Linked DNA regions of Struthio camelus. The protein of the gene in region 3 interacts with the protein of the main gene of each other region in a biochemical or structural test. Links are inferred from orthologs where the notes say so. Each region holds a gene or a part of one and is shown on either strand. Other genes may lie near its edges. The genes, in order: YWHAZ, PARD6B and PRKCZ.

The links.
Region 1: the proteins of PRKCZ (region 3) and YWHAZ form a complex in vitro, tested with the Homo sapiens proteins (2 studies listed by BioGRID, with this or other methods). The link is inferred for Struthio camelus from reciprocal best matches to the Homo sapiens genes PRKCZ and YWHAZ.
Region 2: the proteins of PRKCZ (region 3) and PARD6B form a complex in vitro, tested with the Homo sapiens proteins (2 studies listed by BioGRID). The link is inferred for Struthio camelus from reciprocal best matches to the Homo sapiens genes PRKCZ and PARD6B.

What each region holds. Positions count from the first base shown.
Region 1 is NC_090943.1:146,171,584-146,175,328, reverse strand, and holds the start of YWHAZ (14-3-3 protein zeta/delta), read right to left. Parts: upstream 2,798-3,745; 5' UTR 2,511-2,797; intron 5-2,510; 5' UTR 1-4.
Region 2 is NC_090959.1:10,323,753-10,327,497, reverse strand, and holds the start of PARD6B (partitioning defective 6 homolog beta), read right to left. Parts: upstream 2,505-3,745; 5' UTR 2,338-2,504; coding exon 2,272-2,337; intron 1-2,271. UniProt on the Homo sapiens protein: Adapter protein involved in asymmetrical cell division and cell polarization processes. Probably involved in formation of epithelial tight junctions.
Region 3 is NC_090962.1:2,922,017-2,925,761, reverse strand, and holds the start of PRKCZ (protein kinase C zeta type), read left to right. Parts: upstream 1-1,049; 5' UTR 1,050-1,562; intron 1,563-1,665; exon of another isoform or gene 1,666-2,138; intron 2,139-3,025; 5' UTR 3,026-3,158; coding exon 3,159-3,229; intron 3,230-3,745. UniProt on the Homo sapiens protein: Calcium- and diacylglycerol-independent serine/threonine-protein kinase that functions in phosphatidylinositol 3-kinase (PI3K) pathway and mitogen-activated protein (MAP) kinase cascade, and is involved in NF-kappa-B activation, mitogenic signaling, cell proliferation, cell polarity, inflammatory response and maintenance of long-term potentiation (LTP).

The DNA.
Region 1 (3,745 bases), on a different chromosome or scaffold from region 3:
CTTTCTACAGAGGAAAAACAGGGAGGTATTATTCAGACATTTATCAAGGACAAAGATGTTTTAATGTCATATGCAGAGCAACCGTTTTCCAAGAAGTCTGAAATTGTGAAATGTACAACCAAAATCTAGAACACAAAGCAGGCAAGCTCCAATGCTCAAATACATGAGCTGAAGACTTCAAGTCACTGCCTCCTTCTAAGGAAACGTTAACTTTTAAAGGAATATTATTTTAAATGTTTACAAATATAAGCATCCAAATGTGAACTGAAAGCAGATCACTCCTATCTCAAGCATACGCACAATCCCAGTCCTTTGCCATCACTCAGTTTTCTCATATGAGTGCAGTAAAGATGCAGCATCAGCTGCATCTAATTATCAAGGTAATAAGATTGACAACATAGGAACAGACAAAATACAGGCTAGTCAAACAGTATGAGACAACTCTGTGCCTTAACAGGACCTTATATTTATGTGCAGAAAGACTAGCCATAGGGATCTGCAAATCAAACCCAACACTGGAGGCTGAGAAGTCAGAGCTCCCTAAATATTCAAGCAGTTTCAAGGAGTACACCCTTTGACAACGTTAGCTTCCTTTCCCAAAACGGTAATAGGTTAAATCCTCTCACCTAGGCAGTGCTCCTCAGTCTGAGAGGTTAGGTATGCTTTCACAGACCCAAGGAGACTTCACTATTTAAAATATTACTTGAACATCAGCTTTTGAGACAGCATGAGCTGGCTGAGATACTTTATAGCCTGTATCACATCCAGACTCTTTAAACCAAGCTCTGCCAAACGAAGATAACCGACATATTTTTTTGTACCTCAAGACATGATAATCCTACCTCACCCCCCAAGTTTTCATGTATCTTGATCCAGTCATTTTTCAGGTCCTTACTATGTGCTTTGAAATACACCCTCCTTTAAGGTTTTATTATTAAGACGAGAACCAATTCTGGTGATATATGCTACATTATTTCTATACATTCCAACTAGCAACCTCACACATAATAATTCAGTAGCTTAACTTTGGTCATTTTACATAAAGTTACCACAAGCACTAACTGCAGTACCTCCTATTTAAGGACAAACAAAGCACGTTTTAACATCCTAGACACCTGAAAGGAGAAAGTTTTAGCAGCTGCTCTCCCCAACGCTGGCACACAGCAATTCAGTGGCTGTTCCACAGTGTTTGCTAACATGTGCCGAAGTCCTGACCACACTATAAGTAGTGGGTTAAGGAGCCATTTTAAAGAAAGGTTTTGGCTACGGTTGTTTCACCACCCGGTGCGACTAAGGCAAACGTGGTTTGAATGTTTGTCTGAACGCCAGTTTATCTGGCCACCGGGCTACCCATTGCCCGCAGACGGGTACGGCAGTATCCCTTCCGGGCAGCCAAGCGGCCCTTGGTTCTGATGGGTGAAGACGACCGCTCTGAAGCGCGGCGAGGACCGGAGGATGCCGCTCGGCACGCTGGATGACAGCATAAAATGGTGCTGCGGGCAGCCGGGCGGGCGGCCCCCCGCGCGGAGGCACGCTCGGGGACAGCCCCGCCCCGCGCCGCATCCGCCCGCCGCGGAGACACCGAGCGCCTCGCTGCCGCCTTTGTCATGGCGGACTGGCGTCGGAGCCCAGCCCACTTCAGTGCGCGTTAATCCCACTCACCTCCGCCCAACGCCGGGGGGCGGCGGCGGAGGAGGAAGATGCAGCGTCTCCGCCCCGACAGCGACCGGCCGAGGGGAAGCCCGCCGGCCCGGCCCCGCCGCCCCAGTGGCCAAGAGGAGGACGAGGGGGGAGGCGGCCCCCGCTCCGGGGGAGCCGCCGTTACCGCCCGCGGGGCTGCGGCCAGCCTCGCACGCCCCGGCGAGACCCCCTCGGCCGCGGTGGGGCGGGGGGGAGGCGGAGGAAGGCGCCCGGGGGGGGGGGGAATGGGGGAGGAAGGAGGGCAGGGCGGAGAGAAGGGAAGCGAGCCCGACGGAGGGGCGGCCGCTGCGGCTCTTCCGCGCCCGGGCAGCGCTCCCGGCGGGAGACCGCACCCAGCGACAGCCGCCCGCGCACTGCGGGCCGCGCTCCCGCCCCCGCCCCGCGGAGGCGTTACACCCCCTCCCCTTCCCGCGCGGGCGCGGCGGCGCGGTCGCCCCCGCCCGCCAAGGGCGGGACACCGCCCCTGCGGCCCTCACCTGCCACCCCCTCCGCCACCCGCCGCCCCCAACGGCTCCCCCCTTCCCCCTTCCCTCGCGGGCGAGGCCGGGCAGGGAGGGGCAGCCGCGGCCTCACCTGCGCGGGCCGCGGCGGCCGCCTCGCTCCGCTCCGGCTCGCCCGCCCCCTCCCCGCGGAGCCCCGGCGGGAGCCGCCCTGCCGCCACCGGCGAGGCCGGCGGAGGGGGCGGGGGAGGTCTGCGCGCTGCCCCCCGGCCGCCTCGCCTCCCTCGGCGCGCGGGGGTCGGGGCCCGGGGCCGCCAGCCGGGGCGGGAGCCGGGAGGCGGGGCCGCGCGGCGCCGCGGGCCCCGTTACCTGTGCGAGGCGGCAGCGACGCGGCGAGTGTCTCGGGGCGGACGGCCGGCGCGGACTGTGCCTGTCTCGCGGCTCGCTTCGCTGCAGCCTCTCTCCCAGCGCCACACACGGGGTCTCCGCCAATCACCGCGCCGCAACGCACGGGCAGCGCACCGCCCGTGACGTCAAGCGGGGCCATGGCAACGGCGAGGGCGCGGGCGCGAGCCCGCGCCTCCCCCGGCGCTCCCTGCACAGGGCGGAGGCCTCGCCGACCGCCGCGGGCGCCGGCGGCGCGCGCGGGGGCGCGCGGGGGGGGGGGGAGCGGCGGCCACGCCTAAAACCGGCGGCTCCTCCCGCGGGCGCGCGCCTTCCTCCTTCCCTCCCTGTGACTGCAGAGGCCGAGCGAGCCCGTCAGGGGGGCTCGTCCTCGCTGCCGCAGGGCCGGGCCGGGGCGCCGCCCCTCCGCCAGCCCGGGCCTCTCACCCCGCCACGGCTGGGGCAGGGCCGGCCGGGCAGGCCCGCCCCCCGGCGGGGCCGCGGTCGCCGTCGCGGTGGCTCTGCCCGCAGGCCACGGAGGCGGGGGGCGGCGGCGGAGCTGTCCCGGGCCTGGGTGGAAACGGGGCGGGAGGGCGGCAGCGCTGAGGCGGGCTCGCGTGGGGGCCCCTCGCCCCAGGGGGGGGATGGCAGTGTTGAGGTGGGCTCGCGTGGGGGCCCCTCGCCCCGGGGGGGGATGGCAGTGTTGAGGTGGGCTCGCGTGGGGGCCCCTCGCCCCGGGGGGGATGGCAGTGTTGAGGTGGGCTCGCGTGGGGGCCCCTCGCCCCGGGGGGGGGGCGGCAGTGTTGAGGTGGGCTCGCGTGGGGGCCCCTCGCCCCGGGGGGGGGATGGCAGTGTTGAGGTGGGCTCGCGTGGGGGCCCCTCGCCCCGGGGGGGGGATGGCAGTGTTGAGGTGGGCTCGCGTGGGGGCCCCTCGCCCCGGAGGGGGGATGGCAGTGTTGAGGTGGGCTCGCGTGGGGGCCCCTCGCCCCGGAAGGGAGGGGGCGGCAGTGTTGAGGTGGGCTCGCGTGGGGGCCCCTCGCCCCGGAAGGGAGGGGGCGGCAGTGTTGAGGCGGGTGCGTGTCGGGGCTCTTCGTTTACCACGCCCAGGGACTGACCCATCGCCTCAGCTCTGTGTTTTCCACGCTTGGCTGTGGGGTCTGAGATTTTCCAATTAAAATGAAAAACGCAAAAATGTGCAAGGCCCTTCCCCCCCTCCCCAG
Region 2 (3,745 bases), on a different chromosome or scaffold from region 3:
TCATAACATATCATATTGCCACCATACTATGACAGCAGCCTCCAGCAGACTGCTATAGTAATAGGACATGAACTACAGCAACCATACACGGCCTCTTTTATCAGCATATTAGATTTCATTCTGCAAAGAACATAATTCTAAAACAGAACATAGAGAGAGAAGACAAAAACCATAACAAAAGTTTATGTTGGGACTTTCATACCATCACCAAAAACTCTAGGTTGGGGTATAAAACTTACTTGTCTAAGATTAGAGAAAGGGTTAACTGGAATAAATATATTATGGAGATTCCCCAAGGCAAGTTCAGATCAGTTACCTAAATCGAATAAAATTGACTAACAAAAAGATTTTGCTCATACAACTGCAAATACAATTGGGGTATGTTGGCATAGTTTGTCAGTTGGGGCATTATTGAGATACTCCAAATCAATAATCAAGACCTGTGCATCGCTGATAAGCCTTCAAAGCCTAGACCACTCCACAGTAACGCTCCACTTCACCTCCCACACACTCCTTTCTTCTTCCTCTCTCAGAATTCTTCTTACTCTCATAAAAGGGAGATGACGTCTACGGTATATTAAATCAATGCACTTTAAATAATCCATTAGTGACAAGTAATTCTAGGAATGCCTTGGAACTCACTTTATGATATGCACTTAAGAGACAGTCCCTATTCATTAGAACCTCTACATTTTTCTACACAAATAACAAAGAATGCATCTCAGCTGATTCCTAGAAACTTTCATCCCATTCTTAATCAAGCAAAATACATGACAGAGGAACCAACAGGCCTAGAGTTCTGCGCTGAGGCAGTAAGTACTTTGCTCATAAACACATTGTTCTGGCTGTTCTCAACCTTAAAAGTGCATAAATGAAAGAGATTTCGCCAATCAGAGCCACAGCTGTGCTTCGCTACCATTTGGAATCAGGGCTACCAGGTATTCCTGTGCGTTTTGATTTTGTCCACTTAAAGGTTAAGTCCACTTTTTTTTTTTTCTCCTAAAAATCACTATTACCTATGCAACCTAGCTGTTTTCCAGGAGAAACTTCAGCACAGTCACATTATCCTTAACAACAAAAGCCCACACAACAACTTCAGTCCTGTCTGCTACGCACATACTGCAGCTCTAACGCTCCAACAGCAAACTGTAGACCACTTATAAAATCTGAACAACAGATATGTTTTGTACCAATGGAGGAAAACACATTTCTGTATAGGTGCACTTACAGTCTGCCTAGACAAAGAGAAAGTGTTTTTAACTCAAGTTACATGCGTTCATTTAACTAATGACACACCAACTAATACCACAGATCCAACACCCCTACAATTGATAACAGCTGAATGACAAGCCAACAAAACATCAGAAATATAAATCAAAAGATAATGTACTGCCTCTCAAAAATTTAAAGTTTTTCCAACAAAACTATGCCTAATCTGCATTAAGAAGAAACAGTAGAAAAAAAATGGATGTGGATACATCAATAGAAGATGGTTGGTGGAATTGTGCACAGCTTTGACAACAAAAAAAACTTTTGCTATGAGCGGTAACATACAGATATATTTGCTCATTTAAAAAATTGCCATTATGAAGACCTTGGAAAGTCTTCAAAGAAAAGCAAGTTTGTTTAAGATAAGTTAGCTGTGGCTTACCTGCACCAAGTAATGCAAGCTATATAGCGAGCTCTAGCCCACTTTAAGAAAGGTACGTAAACACATAGTTAAAGTTAACCAAAACCACTCCTTTCCTCATTTAGACCAAGAACAGGTTTTGGAGTTCATGAATCATGACTCTAAAACATGTCCCCTGGTATCCCCCAAACTTTCCCAAACCATCCACTTCTCTAGACGGTATTTTAACCAACGCAGAAACTAAGGGACCAAAACCACAAGCTTTTTAAATGAAAATTAAAAACACCCCCCCACACACATAAAAATACTAGTTTTCCCCCCCCGCAGACAGCGCACCCGGTGAGCGGTGCCACAAGGAAACTTCCACCGCCGGAGCCGCACGGCAGCGACCCGGGGCGGGGGGGGGGGCGGCCGGGACGGGCAGGCTGCCGGGGGGGGGGGGGGGGGGGGGGAAGAGACACGCCGCCGCCGCCGCCCGGAGCGCTCGAGCGGCCGCGGGCCGTCGCCCCCGCCAGCAGGTGAGTCAGCAGCTCTGCGGCCCCGCCGCCCTCCTCCACGGCGGCCCCGCAGGGCCGGGCCGGGCCCTCTCCCCGGCGCCGCCGGCGGACGCGGCCCTCCGCCGCCGCCGCGGCCGGACCCACCTTACTCTTCACCTCCATGGTGCCGAGGCCCCGGCTGCCCGCGGCGCCGCGGTGAGGCCGGTTCATGCCGCCGCGGGGTCGCTGTCCCGGCTCCGCTCTCTCGCCGCAGCCCCCGCGCGGGCGGTGGGAAAGGCAGCGAGGCAGAAGGGCGAGCGGCGCGGGCCCGACGCCAGCCGCCCCCGGCACCCCGCGGCCGCTCCGCCACCTCCTGCCGCCGCCCTCACAGCGCCGCCGGGGGAGGGGGGGAGGGGAGGGGGAGGGGGCGGAGCCACGGCGGCTGCGGGCACCTGCCGCGCCGCCGAGCCGGCGGCCAGGCAGGGGGCGGGGCGGCTCAGAGCGCGCGGCGCCTGCGCGGCAGGGCGGGGCGCAGGCGGCGGGAGGGCGGGGCGGCGCACCTGCCGCTGGCGAGCATGCGCAGTCGCCACCCGGGCAGCGGGGTGGCGCACCTGCGCCCGCTTGGTCCGGGTTCCAAAATGGAGGACGCGTGCACGGCGCCCGCGCGAGGGTGAGGCGCTGTCCGTATGAGGAAGTGTGGGGAGGGGTTATTTATTTATTTTTTCCTCCTATCTCTAATGACCTAAGGCCTTCTCAGGTGTGGGATCTGGCCGAGCGACCTTTGCGCTGGTGTGTCAGCGCGGGGCCGCGGCGGCTGGAGCGCGGCCCTCCGTCCCCTCAGACGCCTCAGCGTCGCGGCGCCGCCGGCTGCCGGCCAGGGCGCCCGCGGGGCAGCGGGCGTCGAGGCGGATTCTGGGCACTTAAGGCGAAGTGCGCCTCTGTTAGATTATTTGTCTGTAGATTACCTAAACTATGTCTAGACCAGTCCAAAAGTTTGAACTCTTACCCTCTGGGTACCTCTGTAAAGTCCATTCGTGCCATAGAGAAGTTGGAGTTCGTGTTTTTGTTTCAACTGCAAGTAATATTTCAGCATCTGGCAATATGAACCAGAACGACTGTTTTATGTAACCTTGCATATTGGTATAATCCCGAGATAGAGCAGTTACTTCAGTTCAAAGCCCCTACTTCAGTACTCTGGCAGGGGGACTGAGAAACCTCATTAGTTTACGCCTTACAATCTGAAGAAAAAGGACTCCTTACTAGTACAATTTTACATGTGTTAGTAGGAAGAAGGCCCATGGATCAACCTACTTATGTCAGCATACCTTCTAAATACAGATTGCTTCCTAATCTGTAAACCTAGTAGAAAAGAACTCAGTTTGAGGCGTCCTCATGTAGGCTTTATGTAGGATGCTGTGAAGGGAGTGCAGACAAACAGCCCTTTGCAGTTAAGGCAGGGTATGAGTGTCTAGTCAGTTCACAAGTCTCAGTTGGTAATCAGTAGTTTTTAAGAACATGCAGTGCTTAATCACTTTCAAGTCGGTGCTGTTTTGGACAGCCAGTCTTACTGCCGTCATGCCAAAGGCAAAGAAATTGCAACTATCACTCAAGCCAAGACAAGCGCTAATTAGTACAGAGG
Region 3 (3,745 bases):
CTGCTGCATTTTTTTGGAGTCACAGAAAACATCTAGATTGATGGGAATAAGTTTTGCTTCTGTACTCCTACTTAAACTAGTATTAAGCATTATTCATATTTTTGGAAGTTCATAGAGACACCAAACAAAGCATTAGCGCTATATTCGTACAAGCGCACACATTCCTATAACCCTCAAGGGAATTGTAAAAGCGCAAAATGGTGTCTAAAAGAAACTTGAGGTAGGTGTGTACAAGGTAATAGCAAGAGACTAAGGATCAGTCTTTTCTCATTTTCAAAATACAGATTATGACTGCTCAACTCGGAGTAGTCAAACCCAAACCACAGTGGTTGTGACACCCTGGCTTGGTTTATTGTTCAGAGTTCAGTGGACTAGTTACCTGAAGGAGATGCAAACAGCTAAGCAAAAGCTCCAAGGCAAGCCTTTTGTTTGGATAGCTTATTGGCTTGCCAAATTGGTTTAGGTATAGAAGAAAACTAACTGGCCATTTTAATTCTTAATTTCCACGAGGGGACTCTGTGAGTACAACTATCCCACACCTCTGTCCAAAGAACAGAGGAGACCACTGTGCTTAAGTCATAGCTGATTCATAGTTTTAAATCAACAGATCAAAGTAGCATTAGGAAAAAAAGCACTTTATAAAACTGAAATAGTGATGACATTGGACGTTTCACAGGCTTGCCCTTGTGAAAGCGTAGGTAAGTCAGCACCGTTACAACAACGTAGTCCATTGCTTTTTTTCCTCCCCTCCCGATGTGGCTACTCAGAAGAAGTCACGATATTGTTATTTTTATTGTTTCATTTCTTCTGTACCTATTTATTTCGACAGCAGTTTTCCTGCCTTTACAGTCCCGAATGAAGTCTTCTCGGTTTGGGTGGTATGATTACCCTTCCATGGAACTACACTCTTGTGAAAGGAAGCTTTCCCTCTAACTCCGGGCGGCAGCGCCGCTCCTTCCGGGCACCGCCGCTCGCCTCAGCACCGCCCCCGGCCCTGCCCCGAGGCGGCCCCGCGCTCCCTGCCCCCAGCCCGGCGCTGCCTAGCCCGAGGGGGCGCTGCCGCTCCTCCCGCAGCGAGCCAGCGCCTCCCGGCGAGCTGAAGCTAAGGGGGGGCCGGGCGAGGCCACACCGGAGAGCCAAGGGGCCTTCGGCAGTTTGGACGACCCACTACCTCTCTAGAGGGCTCCGAGGAGAGCAGAACCGTAGCTCTGTGCCCTCACAGCGCCGTAACGGTCGCGTCTGCTCCTCCTCTCGGGCCTGGGGCCTCCTCTCGCCACGGCGCTACCACATCTCCGAGCGCATAGGTGCTGCACGGGCACAGCAGGGCACCGAAACCCTCCAGGGACGGACTAGGGCTACGGCGGAGCGCCAGAGCGCGCCCGGCCGCTGTCGTGTGAGGACAGCCGCCCCCTCTGGCCCCGCCCCTCCCATCACACCTACCGCCCCACCCGCCGCGCCCACGGGAGCCGCGCACCCGCCGCTCGCTTCTCCGATTGGCTGCAGGCGCCCGCCTTCCGCTCCCTCTATGGCTTTTTATTGGCTGAGAGGCTCCTACTCTTCAGGTAACGGTTTCTAGCCTATGATTGGTCACGGGTGGGGAATATCCTTTTGGGGATTGGCTGCAGGTGAGCCGGAGTTTGCTATTGGCCGGCAGGTAGAGTGGGAGGGGCTCTATTGGTTGTGGGTGCTTCTTCGTCGGCCATGTTCGGAGTGGTGGCGCTGGTGCGGCTAGGGCTGGGAGGAGGAGGAGGAGGGCTGGGAGGAGGAGGGGGAGGAGGAGGAGGAGGAGGAGGGGGAGGGGGAGGGGGAGGAGGAGGGGGTTACTGAGGTGGGGAGCGGATGAGCAGCTACGGGGGAACCTGGGGCTCTTTCCGCAGCGTGCTGCTGCCGCCACGGTTCCCGGGGGACTCGCCTGCCCGGAGGGCAGCGGAGCCGGGGTCCGACCCGAAGTTCCTGGCGGGACTTTGAGCAACTTGGGGGCGGCGGGAGCGGAGAGCCGAGCTCTGCTGGGACGGGGCTGGAGAGGCAGGCCCGGAGGGCGGGCGTTGTCGGTGAGCTTTGCGGAGGTGATGGGGAAGGGGATCCTTGGGCACCCGGCCGCCGGGGAGGGACCTGCCTCGGCCGGAGCAGCAGAGTAGGTAGGAGGAAGGGGGAGCCCCAGAGGCGTCCCTTGGGCGCGGCGCGGCAGGGAGGGAGGGAGAGGCCTCGTCCGGGCGAAAGCGTCCCCTGCCTCTCGCTCCCCGCGCGCGTCGGGGCCGCGGCGTCGCCCCCGGGTCGGCGGGCGCCGGAGGAGCCCTGGGGAGGGCGGGAAGGGGCTGCGAGTGCCCTCAAACCCCAGCAGGGGAGGGAGCCCAAGTTCTGGCATCTTTCCATGGTCCGTGTGGCCCCGCTTCCCTAGAGAGCGGGCTTAGGGAGCTGTGTGAAAATATTTTCGAGTATGCCTGTATATGGGAGGGAGCAGAGAGAACCTCTGAAGAAGCAGGATATTTGCTTGAGAGTCCAGTTCTAAAGGCAACTTAGACAGCCCTTTGGAGTTCTTTCACTTTTCTTGAATAAATTTGTAATTAGCATGAATGAGTAACTGTCTTCCATGTATATGCAAATTACTTTGAATTGGAATTCTCTACTGTATGAAAGAAAAGAGCCAGAAGTAGTATGGATGAAGAAGTAGTTAATTCCTTTGAGTATTTCTGGCCAGGAAGGAACTACTGGATATTTTGTTAGAAAATATTGTCCTTTAAAAAAACCAAAATTTAAATGTTTTATACCAATTGTGCAAAAAAAAACCCAAAAAACAAACTGTCTTGAGTTCCGATCGTCTATAAATTGGAATGCTTATGCAATGCAGGGTAGTTTAAACTGATTTACTTCATTACTGTGCCAGACAAGTCTTATTGTATGTTTTCCTTTTGTTTTCTTTTGGCTTTATATGTAAAGCTACTTGAGTTTACAAAATCTGACACAACGCATTTGTTCAGTAGAGCGTGTGTATATTCATCTGTATTTTGATTTTTCTTTCTTTCAGCTGGATTGACTGTCGTCTGGAAAAGATGTGCATATATCACATCTGAAGTCTTTCACTTAAGAATTAAATGAATTATCTGCTCTTTCTATATAGTTACCATATAGTCATTCATTTAGACTGTTGAATTTAGACCATGCCTAGCAGAATGGGCTCAAAAGTTAATTTGAACAGAGACTTCATCAGGGTGAAAACACACTATAGCGGGTAAGTCCACATATTCCCTCCTGTGTATTGTGTCATACCTAATTTTGAAGCGTATCGAACAGGAGTCTATAGTCTCACTTAGTAGCAGAGTAACCAGGAAGCTGATGGATTTGAATGTAATGTCAGGACAAGTATATAAACTTCTAGGCTATTAAAATAAACATCCACAACAACTGCAGCACACTGAAACATTTTAAAAGAGTTGCTGTTTTATTCCTTAGTCTGGGTTGATGGGTTATTGCTTTCTGTTTTCTTGCAAGTGTTTTACGTTCACAGGCAGATAAGTTGTTCTGTTACATCCAGATACAGTTGTTATATTTTTATAATATAGAAATACATCTATTGTACTTTATTATATTTACTCATGTTGTGAGCTCTGAATCTGCAGATTACCACTGAAATTAGCAGGAGACTACTAAGTGCAGGTTTCCACTCACAGATGTCAGTTCATGACTGTGTGCTCCTTGGGACAGAATCTATGGTATTTAGTACGAGAGCTCTTTTCCGGTGGGATTT